2 linked regions of the Struthio camelus genome follow. The protein of the gene in region 2 interacts with the protein of the main gene of each other region in a pairwise test. Links are inferred from orthologs where the notes say so. Each region holds a gene or a part of one and is shown on either strand. Other genes may lie near its edges.

Region 1 (7,559 bases), on a different chromosome or scaffold from region 2:
GTGGGACTGGCGAATGGAGGTAGAGCATATTAAAGCAACGCTGCGAGATACGGGTGTTTGCGTGCAGTACCCTGGGCGCCGGATCGCCCCTCAGCACCAAAATAGCCAGCTGCATGTGTCAGAACTTCCTTCTCTTGCAGAACTCAAAACAAAAAAAAACTGGAGCATTTTGCAGTTTTAACCCTCACCCAGCGCCTCTCCTACAAACAATAATCTCCGTTTCCGTTTGCAGGGACGGCTCAGGAGGAGGAGACGGCACAGCCGGGAGCACGGCCCCGCAGCCCCCGGCAGCCCTCCCAGCGGCATCGCGGGCTTCCCGCGGCCGTCACCCCCCGAGCTCCTGAGCCCCCGCCAAGGGCACCCGTGCCCCGGTCGCTGCCGGCAGGGCTCCAGCGGCGTCGCGCTGCCTCTTGGCCAGGTCGCAAGGACACCCCCAGCAGGAAACAAAAAACTTCAGTTTCCAGGCAACCCGAAGCTCTGCTCAGCTGGGATCCTCGCGCGGGCGCAGCGAGAGGCTGCTTCTCGCCAGCTGCCTTTGCCGCACGCACCTCAGATGGGAGGATAATCCCGGGGGTTTTGCGACGTCCGCGGGGAGCGAGGCCGGCGACCCTCGGCCGAGGGCAGCCAGCCCCGCAGGGAGACACGCTCCCACCCGTCTCCCTTCAGGGCGGCCAGAAACAGGGCACTAACCGTTGCACGTGCACCCATCACCCCTTAAACAGGACCAAGTCCAGAGGCAGAGCTGGGGACAGGCACAGCACTGCCTGTGTCCCCTGTCCCCTCCCCACAACAAACCCGTCGCTGGGGATTTCGGACGGGAGAGACTGGCACGGGCAGAAAGCTGTGGAGAGAGATAGGCCTCCCCGCAGGCAGCAAAGCGACAGTGCAACCTGCAGAGCGCTGCTCTGCCGCTGCCTTCACCCGGCCCTTCCCCGCAGCAGGAGGCGGCTGGACCCGAGCCGGGGCGCACCGGCATGCCACCAGGTGTTTCCTGCCCCATTACACCCATGCATGGCACAACACCGCTCCCTCAACACAGGTGAGGGGCAGGTGGGCCACAGAGAGGGACCAGGACCACCATGAGGGATGGGGCCAGGTGGACCACAATGAGTCAGGGGGACCAGGCAGGCAGGTCATGATGGACCAGGGCAGCTGCCATGGCCCAGGTCAATTCCCAGGCACTGAGTGGACCAGGACAGCTGCCTTGGCCCAGGTAGACTCCCATGCACCGTGGACCATCGTGAGCCAGGACAGCTACCTTGGACCAGGTGGACCATGGTGAGCAAGGACAGCTGCCTCAGCCCAGGTGGACTCCCATGCACCAGGCAGACCATGGTGAGCAAGGACAGCTGCCTCAGCCCAGGTGGACTCCCATGCACCAGGCGGACCATGGTGAGCAAGGACAGCTGCCTCAGCCCAGGTGGACTCCCATGCACCAGGCGGACCATGGTGAGCAAGGACAGCTACCTCAGCCCAGGTGGACTCCCATGCACCAGGTGGGCCAGGACAGCTGCCTCAGCTCAGGTGGACTCCCATGCACCAGGCGGACCATGGTGAGCAAGGACAGCTATCTCAGCCCAGGTGGACTCCCATGGACCAGGTGGGCCAGGACAGCTGCCTCAGCCCAGGTGGACTCCCATGTACCAGGTGGGCCATGGTGGGCCAGGACAGCTGCCTCAGCCCAGGTGGACTCCCATGCACCAGGTGGGCCAGGACAGCTGCCTCAGCTCAGGTGGACTCCCATGCACCAGGCAGACCATCATTAGCCAGGACAGCTGCCTCAGCCCAGGTGGACTCCCATGGACCAGGTGGGCCAGGACAGCTGCCTCAGCCCAGGTGGACTCCCATGGACCAGGCGGACCATGGTGAGCAAGGACAGCTGCCTCAGCCCAGGTGGACTCCCATGCACCAGGCGGACCATGGTGAGCAAGGACAGCTGCCTCAGCCCAGGTGGACTCCCATGCACCAGGCGGACCATGGTGAGCAAGGACAGCTGCCTCAGCCCAGGTGGACTCCCATGCACCAGGCGGACCATGGTGAGCAAGGACAGCTGCCTCAGCCCAGGTGGACTCCCATGTACCAGGTGGACCATGGTGGGCAAGGACAGCTGCCTCAGCCCAGGTGGACTCCCATGCACCAGGTGGGCCAGGACAGCTGCCTCAGCTCAGGTGGACTCCCATGCACCAGGCGGACCATGGTGAGCAAGGACAGCTACCTCAGCCCAGGTGGACTCCCATGCACCAGGCGGACCATGGTGAGCAAGGACAGCTACCTCAGCCCAGGTGGACTCCCATGGACCAGGCGGACCATGGTGGGCCAGGACAGCTGCCTCAGCCCAGGTGGACTCCCATGGACCAGGCGGACCATGGTGGGCCAGGACAGCTGCCTCAGCTCAGGTGGACTCCCATGCACCAGGTGGGCCATGGTGGGCCAGGACAGCTGCCTCAGCCCAGGTGGACTCCCATGCACCAGGTGGGCCAGGACAGCTGCCTCAGCTCAGGTGGACTCCCATGCACCAGGCGGACCATGGTGAGCAAGGACAGCTATCTCAGCCCAGGTGGACTCCCATGGACCAGGTGGGCCAGGACAGCTGCCTCAGCCCAGGTGGACTCCCATGGACCAGGTGGGCCAGGAACCAGGCAGCCCGCACCAGACCGGACGGGGGGCTCCGCGGGAAGGGACCGGCACCCCCGGGACCTCACTTACTCTTGAGGGCGCCGATGAGCGACTTCCCGTCCTTGATGAGCTCCTTGATGAACTTGTTGGTCTTCTCCAGCTCGGCCTCGTGGGAGCGGAGGCGCTCCCGGAACTGGGGGCTATCCAGGCAGCACTCGCTGAACTCCAACGCCGGCAGCCCCATGCTGCCGGCCGCGGGGGAGGAGGGGAAAAAAAAAAAAAACCCTAAATTAAATTTTAAAAACGAGAAAAACGGGAGAGCTTAAAAGGCGCAGCGCGCGCCGGCGGGGGGAGGCGGCCCCGCCGCGGGGCGCGCCCCGGGCCGAGCGGGCCGGGCCGGGCCGGGCCGGGCCGGGCAGCGCGAGCGGCGCGGAGCGAGAGGCGCGGCGGGGGGCGGTGCTGCCGCCGCGCTGGGGGCCGCCGCCCGGGCACGGCTGGCGGCGCGGCGCAGCGCGGCCCGGCCCGGCCCGGCCCGGCGCGACCCGCCTCCCTCCCGCCTCCCAGCCGAGCCCCGCCCCGCCGCCCGCCGCCAGCCAATGGGAACGCGCCTCGCCCCCGGCCCCGCCTCCCACCTCGCGCCGCGCCCCCCCCGGCCCCGCCTCGCGCCGCGCCGAACCTCGCCCTCGGGCCGAAGCGACTGGCCCCTTTCGAACGCGGCGCCGCCCCTCGGCCAATCAGCGGCGCCGCTGCCCGCCGAGGGGCGGGGCGGGGCCTGCCCGCGCCGCTGTGAGGGGATCGATCCGGATCGATCCGGACGGCGGCGCGTTGCCCGCGCGGCGTCGAGCAGCCGCTGCCTCCCCCCCCCCCCCCCCGCTGCCCACCAGCCCTCCGGGTTTTCCCTTCCATTCAGCATCAGCCACGCGGATTATGGCCCCGGGTTTAACAGCGCGGCTGGAGGAAATCCCTCCCGTCAGCCCTGGAAACGGCGCCTCACGCCAGGGCCGAGCGTCGCCCAGCGCCCCAGCCCGGGGGCGCCCGGCGCGCCCTGCTCGCTCAGGCCCGGGAGGCGAGGAAAAAGGAAAAATTGAAAAAGTTAGGAAAAAGAAAAAAAAAGGAAGAAACAGTGTCAGTGCTGGCCCGCTAGACTGGGAACAACGCGTGCCTTGAGTACGTGGCGGAGCCGAGGTCGGGGCGAGCTGATCGCAGCCGGAGGTTCGGGCCTCAAACAGTCCGCGCGCTGTGGCATAGCTGGAGACGGGGTTTTGCAGACACCTCGTTTTCGCTGAGCCCTGCTCACCGGCCCCAACCGCGCGCAGCAGAAGCCGTTAACGTGGACACCAGCGAATGGCTCATCCACGCGCAGGCGAGCCCGAGCTCGCTCTCGCTAACGGTGGCTTCCCACCCTTGCAGCAGCATCACTCTGGCCGGTGACAAGCGGGCACATTTGCTGGTAATCCCTGGATGCCTGGAATTCCCCCTCCCTAGGAGCCTGGAAGTTCAGCTATTCCAGCTTGCGCAAGCTGGCGAGGAGGAGGCCGCGAGGCTGCCGTTCAGCACGCACGAATCCTCGAGCTACGCAGCAAATGTATTCGGGATCAAGCGCGGCGACAGGACGGCATTCCTGTCCAGTCAGCCGTGAAACACGATGCGGAGCTGGTGCCAGCTTGATGCTTATTTGCAAACTGGGGAAGAGAGACGTGGTCCTGCACAAAGTTTAGACCCCGTGTAACACCGACAATATGTGGCCCAGCACAAGCCTGGTGCTACAGTTAATCCATCTGTGTTTTCTAGTGAACGTGTCCAGGCATAGTGACCTGATACTAACGCAATCCCTTGCCACCCGCTGCTTTTTCCCCGCTAAAGGTCTAAAGCACAATTTTCTCTATCGTCACGCCACAGCCTAATTCTAGCCGAGTCACTGCCTTCAAGTGTGGTTGATGAGCCACATCTTTTTGCATGAGATTTCCTAATTATAAAGTGGATGTAATACTAATTAAATGCTTATCTTAAAAAAGCAGGGTATAAAGTTTAATTAGCTGTAATTTATGCCCTATGCATACAACCCTGTAAAAGCACTAGTTATTTGTATTTGCTCCTTTATTCTAGGCTGTACAAAGCCACAGCAGCACATTTTTTGGTTTTATCCTTCTACATTGCTACTGCTTATATTAAAACAGTGTTCCAGCACTTACAGCTAATAGAGCAGAACCTGTAACTAGATTTATAGGACGCTGCCTTAGAGGATCAGAGTATTTGGGACTGGAAACAATTTTTGTGCTCAACTTTTCCACCTCTCCAGAATCACAGAAAGTAATGGTGTTGAGACCATCATTTTATGATGAGGACGAAACTGAGATGTTACAAAGCTCTCTCACATGCACAGTATCACACACACGCGCACCAGGAGCAGAACCCAGGCCTCTAGCATGCAGCAATCAATGCACCAGATATGAACTTGTCCTCCCTTCCGCCTGCTTGCTTACACTGTGCTCCTCATTAGGTCTGAGCTCCCAGAGTGTCACTCTTGGCAGAAGCAGGGCAGCAGGCAATGGGGAGAAACAGCCGCTGATATACTCCAGCCAAGCTTTGCTGGGATCATACATCCCAACTGTAGAAGAACAGCAAAGGAAAAACAAACAAAACAAAAAAACAAAAATTGAGAATCAAAACTTCCACGTTCTCCTGTCTGTGGCTAAGAGTTTGCATCCCTCATGTATTTGCCTGCCTGCTTTGAGCTTTTTTTTTGTTTGCTTGTTTGGTTTTTTTTTTAGCAACTTTGTCTTACGTTCCAGTGAGCTAAGTCAATTTGACACTGTACATGGCTCTGGTAATACTTCCATTTAAACCAACAGAAACATTCCTAGTGATCCTAGCGGGTGCAGAATTTGGCCTGTCATTAGTCTCTAGCGAGTACTTTTCTGTGCTTCTCTAAAGCTGTGCTTACACATAGCTGAGGCAGATCAAAGTTGCTGCCACCGCAATCCCCCACTCCCACCCATGAGCTTGTCCTTGACCATGCATTAACACGTTCTCTCTTGCATAGTCCCTGACGCTCATCCCACAATTAGAGCCCTCAGAGGGCTGAGTCAGCAGAAAACTAATCCAGCATTTAACAAACAAAAAGAAAAAAAAGGAACAGTTTCTACCTAGTTTAGCTCACTGTGTGATCAGATAACCACTGGTGTTGATGCAAGTGCATGGGCCGCTACTGTCCTGACCAAGCGGGAGAAAGGAAGAGTGCCGTAGTGTCAACTCGCATCAGCTCCAGCTACTGTTCCCAGCCTCCCCTTGCACCAGCATTAGCTCTTGGTGGGTCAGGCAATCAGCTGGATTAGGCAGCTTTGTCTGAAAATGAACAATTATTTGCGTAGAATTAGTTCAGCTGGATCAGCTCCCGAATCCGGCTGAGCACATGACCTCTCCCCTGCTTCCCTTTTGCTGACCCACCACAAGCAGCATTTTCCTGCCCCCTTCCTTGTGCTTCCTGTAGTGTTTACAGGACCTTCTTTGAAAGAAAATCAGCTATTAACATGGTAGAAATCAACCACTTCTCCTTTTCTGGAGAAATTTTCTGCCAGTTAAGCGGGATAAGTGAGGTCCCAGAAGGGTTGACAGCACCAGAGCTGGCACAAGACCCACAGGGACAGCAGGAGCAGGGAGGGGATGGGGCAGTGGCCCGTTCCCCTTTCAATGGCACAGAGCTGCTGTCAGCTCACTGCATCTCACAGGCCCATCTCTGCTGTAGAGCAACCCAGACAGATGCAGAGACAGGCCTCGGGGAGGCAACGAGGCCCGTGTTACAGTGCATGCATCCGCGTACAATTACTACACTGTCTGTCAGGAGATGTTAAACCCAGTCACCTTCCAGGTATCTTGCATCAGTGAGTTTGGAGGCTATCTTCAGACTGCTGACGTTCACCAGCCTAAGCCTGTAGTTTCCGCTGTTTGTGGAAATAAGGACCAGTGCCATAGAGGGGCCAGAGAAACAGAGAGAACGAAGGTGGTAAAACCACCCATTAATTAGATCCCAAAGCTAACAGAGTGGGACACGCAAACATTTATTTAAAACCCAGGAGAATACAGTAGGCATTTTGACTATTAGAAACCAGGAGCCACATGAGAAGTTTCTTGGAATTGCCCTCAAGCAGCAGTGTTCAAGGTCCGTTTATTATGCGACTACATATCACCCATGTCTCTCTTGCTCTCAAGGATTTTTTTTGAGCTGGGCACAGAGGAAGCATTGTATATGAAAAAAAAAAGTTACAAATAATACATTAGACCTTTGCAATGAATCTGTATGAATTCCCTGTTATAAACCAAAGGGCATGTATTGACCTATTGTACTGACAACCTTTTGAGGGATCAGATCGTTGGGTCTGGACTTTTTGTTAGTTATGAATACTACACTCTGAAGCAGACATTCTTAGAGCTCCCCCTTCTTCTCCAATGCAGTCATGTCACCCTGGAAACATGCTTTGGGTGTATTTTTGTCTGATAGATCTTTTCCATGTGGCTGCAGCAAACAGTCTTAAGAGACACCTTCAGCATGATAAAGAGCGCTCCCGCTACTGAATGCTAGTGTGTTTTACATATAACAAACATGATTAATATGATTTTACATATTTTTTTTGCCATGGAACGATGTCCGAGTCACACCTCCTGCAGTAGCATCCATGACTTTCCACTATCATCAAGGGAATTTCTCCTCGATTCCTCTTTTCCTTTTTCAGCTTATGTCTTCTTTTGTCCTTGCAGTCCCCCTCCTGGCCTTCAGGCAGATTTGCATGGGTGCCCACAACAACCCTGAATGTAGGTCTCTGCGGAGAACACATTGATTGAAGTACATGAGCCTCTGCACAGTGGCCAGAAGTAAGAAGCAAATAGGACTGAGGTCCCTGATCCCAATCTGCAAAACCGCTTAGGCTCCTAGCTTACAAATGTTA
Region 2 (7,517 bases):
GCCCAGTGAATCTGTTTTCGCAGCAGCGCGAGTTCCCAGGGGTTTCGTCCCAGCTGTGGAGGAACGGCTTCACGATTCGACTGCGATTTAAAGGCAGAGTTTCAACGGACCCGAAGCGGGACTCGTCCTGCCAACCCGGCAGATACAGAGACTGGATTACTTCTTCCCTCTTTGCAGCCCTCAGCTTCCCTGCTCCAGGCAGCGGCAACACCAAACGCTCCAAAAGCGGATCCGAGGCCCCCAAAATAGAGGCCAGTTAATCTGCTTCCCACGTTGGGTTTCATCGCCGTCTCTAATAATTCAGAGATCAACTCGAGCCCTAAAGCGTGAGGTCTAGCGTCTCACCACGCGTTTCGGGGAGCGCTCATTGCAACAGCTCCGCGGCACCCGCCCCCTTTTCCCAGCTTGTGTTAAGATTAGCTCGTTTAGCTAATTTCCCACGGCCGCACCCGGCGTAAAGCTTGTTTCCTTTTGATCCGGTTGCAGGGACTTACGCTTCATCACGCGGCACAGAGGGCCGCCGCTCCTGAACTTTCTCAGGCTCTCACCGATGGACAGAGCAGCAAGTTTTCAACCCTGAACCCTGGCAGCTCCACAGACTATTTATAAAGGGTCCACAAAAAGGTAATTAAGGCTTAAATTCATTATATAGGGGCGCACAGGTCTGGTGAAAAACACTCCAGGGTCCAGAAATCAAGTGAGCAAGGACAAGAGTTAATGACTGCCACAGAAAACGAAGCCGGTAACTCCTATCTATCTTCCTAGCAAACGTTTCCGAATATCCGCTCAACCCAATGGCCTCTTTCCTGTGCTCTGGCAGCCCATTTGAACAGGGCACTGGGTGTATTCCCCCAGGGTGGTGCCCTATCAGCTTCATTTATTAGTCAGCTTCGTTATTTAGGTACCTTCAAGGGGGAGGTAACAGCTTGAATTAGATCAGCTGAGAGAGCTGGGGGGAGGATAGTCACCTGGGTAAAATGCAGCTATTTCTGGGGGAAAACCTTGTGTAAAAGCAGACCTAAAAGAGGAGCGCAAAAGACTTGCGCCAGGAGATGCACAAGCAAAAAAACAAAAACAAAATTTGGGAAGAGATTCCTCATTCGAGGCTCTTTCCAGCAGCCGCTAGAAGGCTGCATGTGTCGCAGATCCTCTTCTGGGGGGGAGAAAAAAAAGTTTCACCTTTGCAGCACAAAAGAGGGATGTTTGCTGGGGAGGTGAACGCGCATCCCCTTGCTGAGCTGGAGGCACGATGGGATGGGGAATACGGGTCTTCCAGAGCAGCGGGAAAAACCCTGGCGGATGCGTTTTGGGGTGGGGGGGCTGCTGCGACCCTGGCCCGCGTCGCCCAGCGCCGCCCTCACGGAAACCCGCAGGGAAGAATTGGTCTCTTCTGGTTGTTGCAGGACGTGGCCCAAGCGGGCATCTCCCGCGCGCAGCAGCCCGTTCCCTGGCAGCCGAAAACACGCCGCGACGTAGCTGAGGAGACTCGCCGGGCTCGGCCGCGTCCGGGCGGAGAAACATCCGCCGGCGGTTTGGGGCGCGGATCGACTCGGGCGAGGCCGCCTCGCACCCCAGCTCCGCGCCTCGGTTTCCCCCCTTCGCCGGGCAACCCCACCTTTGAGCGGACGGGGAGCTTCATTGCATTCCCTGCCCCGATTCCCGCTGGAGCGGCTACGGGCTGAAATCCTTCCCTGGAAAAACTACGGGAACAGCTCGAACCCAGCAACAACCACCCAAGCCGACGCGTGAGCCGAGCCCTTCCCCGGGCGGCGGGGGCGAGAGCCGGGAATTCCCCGGTGGGACGCGGGAGCTTTTAATCGCCTGCTCCGAGTTTCTTTTCATCTTCCTCGGAAGCAGATGGATCTGGGTGGGAGCAGGGCACAGGTCGTTCCGATATCCCTGTATCGGAGCCAAAGTCCCGACACCGGATATCTTCGGCGCCTTCCCAGCTATGCTGACACAGCCGCGGATTTAAAACCTGCCAGGGCCCTCCGCGCTTTTACGCCGCGATCCTTTCCTCCGCCTCGCTCTGGGCAGGGAGGATCCGGCCGCTGGCGTTTCGAGCGCGATATCTATTTCAAGGATCACGAATCAGCTCGTTTTAATCCCGAGCCGGGTAGAAACTTCACAGCTGGTTGCTAAAATTACCAAGCAGCGCACTGAGCATAGCTGGATCGGTAGCAAAAAAAAAGGAGGCAATTGGGTCTTTTTATAGATAACACGTAAGCGATCCCCCCCCCCCCCCCAGATTTAAAATAGGCTGGATTCGATTTCGGCTGCGGTATCGTCTCCAGCGGGCGAGAATTTGCTTCTGCCTCCTCCCTTCTCGGTTGAAAAAAAAAAAAAAAGTGCCCCAGCTCGACTCCGGGCGAGCTGTGCCGATTCCCGAATTCATCCGCTGGGAAAGCAAACGCCACGGAGGGTCTCGGAGCTGGCGGCAAGCAGACGGGATGAGATAAGCGGCACGATGGGATTTCAGGACTGGATTCGTGGGTCGGTGGCGGCAGGGAAGCAGGGGGGAAACATGACAGCAGCGACCGGAGAAACAAAAACTTCCTTCCTAGCGTGGAAAAGCCGCGTCCCTCCCCGGCACACGCGCAGCTTATCTTCCGCATCGCTTCCCCGTTCGGCAGCGCTCCGGGAACGAGCCGCGTTTTGCAAGCCGGGAAACGGAGGCGCCGCACGGAGTCAGGAAGAGAGACAGGAGACGGGAAGGGAAACGGGCCGGTACCGCAGCAGGCCTTCCCGGCGGGGACGGGAGCATCGCTCTGCGGGCGACGGAGGTGGGATGCTTCAGGAGCCGGGATGCCCCAGGGGCTTCGCCGTAGGGAAACGCCACTCTGGCGTGCGTCCCCCTCCCGCCACCCCCGCAACCAGAAAACCGAAACCTCCGCCAAGGCGCCGGCCTCCCCGGTACTCACCGCCGCCACCGAGCCGCCACCTTCGTCTTCCTCCCGTCTTTTGCGATCTCGCGCACCCGACTGCGATGAGCCGCATCCAGCCGGCGCTCTGTTCCCTCCCTCGCCGCCCCGGCCAATGCTGGAGCGACGGCGCTGGCCGGCCCCGAGCCCTGGCAAGCCCCACCCCGGGCCCAGCGCGCCGCCTCGGCTCCCCGCTTCTCCCGGTGCCGACGTTTGCTCTCAACGGAGCCTCGGCCGCCGCCAACGGAACGAGAACGGTAGCGTTTTTCCAGCCTTTCTGACTGCCCGGCAGCAAAACAGCAGCGTTTCGCAGGAGCCCGTCGCCACGGCTTTTCCCCATCGGATGCTGCCGGCGGGAGGACTCGCAAGACGGCGGCGGTGGGGGGGGATTAAGCGCAAAACGGGATAAAAAGCTGCGTCCACTCCAGCCGCTAAGGGAGGATTCCCTACGGAGCGAACGTGGATGGAGCGGCATTACTCATCCATCCAAAATAATCCCTGGGAATTCCCACCGATTCGACCCCCCCCCCGGTTTCCCAGCTAACAGAATTAAGTTTCGGCTCGGGGACGTGGCGCTGGAAAGAGCCCGGCTGTTTCGTTCTGCCGCCGCGAGCTCACGGACGGAGGGGTGGAACTAAACGTCAGCCCGGTTTGAGTTCGGAGTCAGGCCTGAAAGGACGCGGCCGAGTTAAAACGCTCCCGGCCGGATCCCCCGCTCGTTAAAATTGCAGATTAGCCTCCTCAAGAGGAGCTGGTGGCGTGTGATTAAGAGGCAAGAGACACTCCGGGCAGGACACCGGATCGCAACAGCCGACGCCGGGTGCTTCGTTCACCTCAGATCCCCCCCCGGCGAAAAGCCCCGAGTTCCCCCTTGACGTGGCACCCTTCGCCCCAGCTCGCGCGTTTTAGCTAAAAACACCCTTTTTGTGAGGGAAACTGAGGCCAAGCCCAGCCCAAACCTGGCTCCGGAACATGCGCAGGCTGGTTAAACGCATATAGAGTTGTCCGTGGCGGAGCTGAAGCGTCGCTAGAAAGGGCCGAAAGCGGCTGTTAGCTCTGTTTTGTCTTTATTTTTTCCCCCACCCTCTGACGTGTTTTAAAATACAGTCTCACACTTTGAGCGGCGACCAACAACCCTTCGGGGAAGGACTCGGGTATCGGGCAGAGGCGACGCTGCCCTCGCGGTGCTCCGAGTTTTAAGGACGCTGCGGAGGCTGGAGCTAGCGCTCATTAGGACGGCAAGCCCATTAGGCGGAAAAATTAGCGAGGGAAGACCAAGCACGCGGTTTCCCTCGCTCGGCACCGACTGACGAGGTTTCTTTTCCGGTTTCCCACAGCCTGTAATCGCCACGGCAGCCGAAGGCAGGAGACCAGCGAGCGAGACGGCCGCCTGTGCAACCCCTCGCTGGTGTAAGGCGTCGTGAATATCCAGGCGAAAAAAAAAAGGGAGGAGGGAAAAAAAATTTAAAAAGCACTTTCTGCACCCAAATTCCCCAGCGCCGGCGGGCACCCAGCTCCGCGCCGTTGGCGTTCAGTTTTGGGGGGAAAGAACGCAAATCCAGGGGGCTAATCGGGTCAACTCCCCCCCGCAAAGCGCCGAAACCCACAGATTAATTGCGTTAGGGCATTGCGGTTTTTTTTTCTTTTTATACGCAAAATTCAAAGTGCATTTTATTTGCTTCCCTGAAGGAACAGCCCAGCTTGGCAGCAGGTGACGCCAAGGGAGGCTCCTGCCACGCTCGGGCCAACTCCAGCACCCACCTGGCGTTTGGTTGTTTCCTTTTGCAGGTGCCAAAATACACAAAAAAAGCAGCCCGAAAGCAGCAGTCCTGAGGCTACGCGGAGGGAGAGGGCCAAAGAGATCGGCTTCGTCCCGTCTCCCGCCGTCGTTCCGCCCAGCGGAGGCTTAAATTTTGACAACTTGGGCGGCAACGCAAGGGCTCTTCCGCTCCCCCTCCGCGTCGTGCCGCCGCACGTACAGGCGCCCGTAGGTCCCGCCGACCTGCCCCTTCGTCAGGCGGCCGGGATTGATGCACACGCAGCCCAGGACGTCCTGCGGAGAAAGAGCCGGCGCGTTAAAACCGATCCCAGCTTACGTCCAAGGAGAATTTCCCAGGGGGAATTTCGGCACGGGAGAGCGGACAAAGCCCGCTCCGCTTTACCTTGACGAAGTACCTCAGCTCCGAGGGGGCGACGAGGACGTCCGGCGTGACGGGCAGGGCCGCGTAGCTGTAGAAGTTCTCGTAGTCCACGTTCATCTCCTCCGCGGGCGGGTAGAGCGGGTAATAACTGCCGGAGAGAGCAGAGAGAGGTTGTCCGCGCTTCCGCGTCCTCCGGCATCGCGAGAGCGCCGACGCCTCCTCACGGCGGAGGAAGCCGGCTGGGCGTTAAACCGGATTCAGTTTTGGTGTTAGAACATAGCTTTTGGGTCAAATTTACATCAGCGTACAGCTGCCGCTCTTTTACAGTCTGTTCAAGGGGAACAAGCGGGAGCTCGGAGCTAATCTGGAGAGCCATAAAACCACCGGATCGTTCCGGAGTGGGCAGTTATTCCTATTCCTTTTACCCCGTCCTCAGGCATCTGCTACCGGCCGTTCTCGGGACACCGGCCTGGAAAATCCGACCCAGTTGCGTCCTGCGGGACGGCGCAGGCCGGTCTGGAAGACGTACGGCATTAAGCACCCCCAAATCGCGCATCTAGAGGGTTATCGAATTCAAAAAGGAGCATTTTGACTTGAAAAACGTCACCCTAAGCGGGGCGGGAGGGACGGCAGCGCGCCATTTCAGTTGTTTTGCCCTTTTTCGGCAGGGCTAGGCGACAATCCAGGAACTCGCCTCACCTCCTCTGCGTCAGGACGTGCTTGAGGATCCGCGTGAACCTGTCCGAGATGCCCGAGGAGCTGTAAGAGACCGAAAACAAGCTATAAAAGGAGTCGGGGCGGGGGGGGGGGGAATAAAAGGTAGCGCTTAAGCTCGTTTGTGAGGTCACTGTTGACATGCTGCGCCGCTCAATTAGCCAGCGGGCCTGATTAGCGACGCAGGCAAGCGGCTAACGAAGCGTTTTGTTCTGCCCAGCACCGCGGGCTCGGGCCAGCTCTTCCTCCGAGCCCCGCAAACGGAGCGCGACGCGCCAGGAGAAAAACAGCCCGAGCAGAGAAACGCCGGTGGCATTTTGTTCGCCAAGGCGGGATGCCAGAGAGGCAAAACGGAGCGAAACGACCCCGGAGGGAGCGGCTGAGGCTTCTCTCCGCAGGAGCGGCTAAAACCCGGCGAGTCTGGGTCTGGGTTCGGCAGCTCCCGCCGCGAAAACGTGGCAAGGGACCGCTGCCGCCTCCGGGCGCCCACCTGCTGATCTCCTCGGCCCCCATGTGGAAGAGCAGGTCGGTGGAGGTCAAGCCGAAGACGGTGCCGTTGATTTCCAGGGTGCAGGGGTCCGAGACGAAGTGGACGCGCTGAAACGAGAAGGGGGACGCGATGGGTTTTTCCGGCAAGGGCGCCGCCGGCATCTCCGAATCCGTCTAAACCCGAGGGACGGGCTGGGGAGTCGCCCGACGCCACGACAGCGGCGTGGAAGCTCCTCGGTCAGAAACGCGTTAAATTAGGAAAAAGAGGGTTAGGAGACGCGTAGGGCTGGGCTCTACAAATCCGCCTCAAACGATGCGTTTTTCCTGGCAAAACCATCTTGATATCTTTTACGGCATTCCTTATTTCCCCGCGTCTCGGGGAGCCCCACGACCTCACGAGCGGGACACAGGGGCAGGAGCAGCCAGGACATCCGTTCCCAGCTCCTCCTCCTGGTCAGAGGAGGTTTCCCTGGCGCTCTCGCTTTCTCACCCGCGAGCGAGTAGAAATAAAGTGAATCGCAGCTGGATTCTCCCGGGAAGCCTGAGCTCCGCTGATTTTTGCTCCTCAGGGAGCTCCCAAGCGGATCCTGCCAGCGAGAACCGCTGCCGGTCCTTTCCGGACGGGTCCGCTCTACAGGCCGAGGGCAAACCCGCAAGAAAGACGCCGCTTTTCGCCCCAAACGAGCGACCAAAACCCGTTATCCCGTTTCGCTCGAGGACGGGTTTGATTTCGAGGACGTTACCGGCTTGTCCTCCTTCGGCAGCTCGGGGTAGGCGAAGGGCGGCTGCGGGTACACGTAGTCGTGGTGAACGTCCCGCAGCGACGGCACGAAGACGAGCTGAGAGCCGGCGCTGCCGGGAAGAGAGCGACCCGTTACGGGGGAGAAAACGGGAGCCGAAGCCACGCAGGTCGCCCGCTCCCGCTTCAGCTTTTAAGGCATCGAAACGCGGCGGGCGCCCGCTCCGGGTGGACGAGCTGCGGCCGGGCGGCCTCAGAAAGCCCCGCGTCGGGGGCACAGGCTCTGGGAGGATCAAAATCCCCCTCGAGCCCCCAAAATCCCCTTATCTCCTTTTCCCACCCAAGCTGCGAAGCCGGCAGCAGAGCTACCCCACACCCGAGGCTCGGACCGCGCCGTGTTTTCGGAGCACTTTTTACACCAGATTCGGCCACAAAAAGGGCTCCGGTTTCCCAGAGATCGCAATTCCTTCTCACTTCTCAGCGGAGATGTTTACAAGCAACGGAGCCACGAAT

Evidence for each region.
Region 1: the proteins of CDC42EP2 (region 2) and ARHGAP26 interact in binary tests that used the Homo sapiens proteins (3 or more experiments, as listed by UniProt). The two-hybrid records come from large-scale screens. The link is inferred for Struthio camelus from reciprocal best matches to the Homo sapiens genes CDC42EP2 and ARHGAP26.

The regions. Positions count from the first base shown.
Region 1 is NC_090954.1:1,927,872-1,935,430, forward strand, and holds the start of ARHGAP26 (rho GTPase-activating protein 26), read right to left. Parts: upstream 3,015-7,559; 5' UTR 2,861-3,014; coding exon 2,707-2,860; intron 1-2,706. UniProt on the Homo sapiens protein: GTPase-activating protein for RHOA and CDC42. Facilitates mitochondrial quality control by promoting Parkin-mediated recruitment of autophagosomes to damaged mitochondria.
Region 2 is NC_090976.1:824,160-831,676, reverse strand, and holds the start of CDC42EP2 (cdc42 effector protein 2), read right to left. Parts: upstream 3,122-7,517; 5' UTR 2,922-3,121; intron 1,856-2,921; exon of another isoform or gene 1,616-1,855; intron 1-1,615. Other genes in the region: POLA2 (DNA polymerase alpha subunit B), read right to left, coding at 4,828-4,974, 5,084-5,210, 5,762-5,821, 6,267-6,373, 7,009-7,117. UniProt on the Homo sapiens protein: Probably involved in the organization of the actin cytoskeleton. May act downstream of CDC42 to induce actin filament assembly leading to cell shape changes. Induces pseudopodia formation in fibroblasts in a CDC42-dependent manner.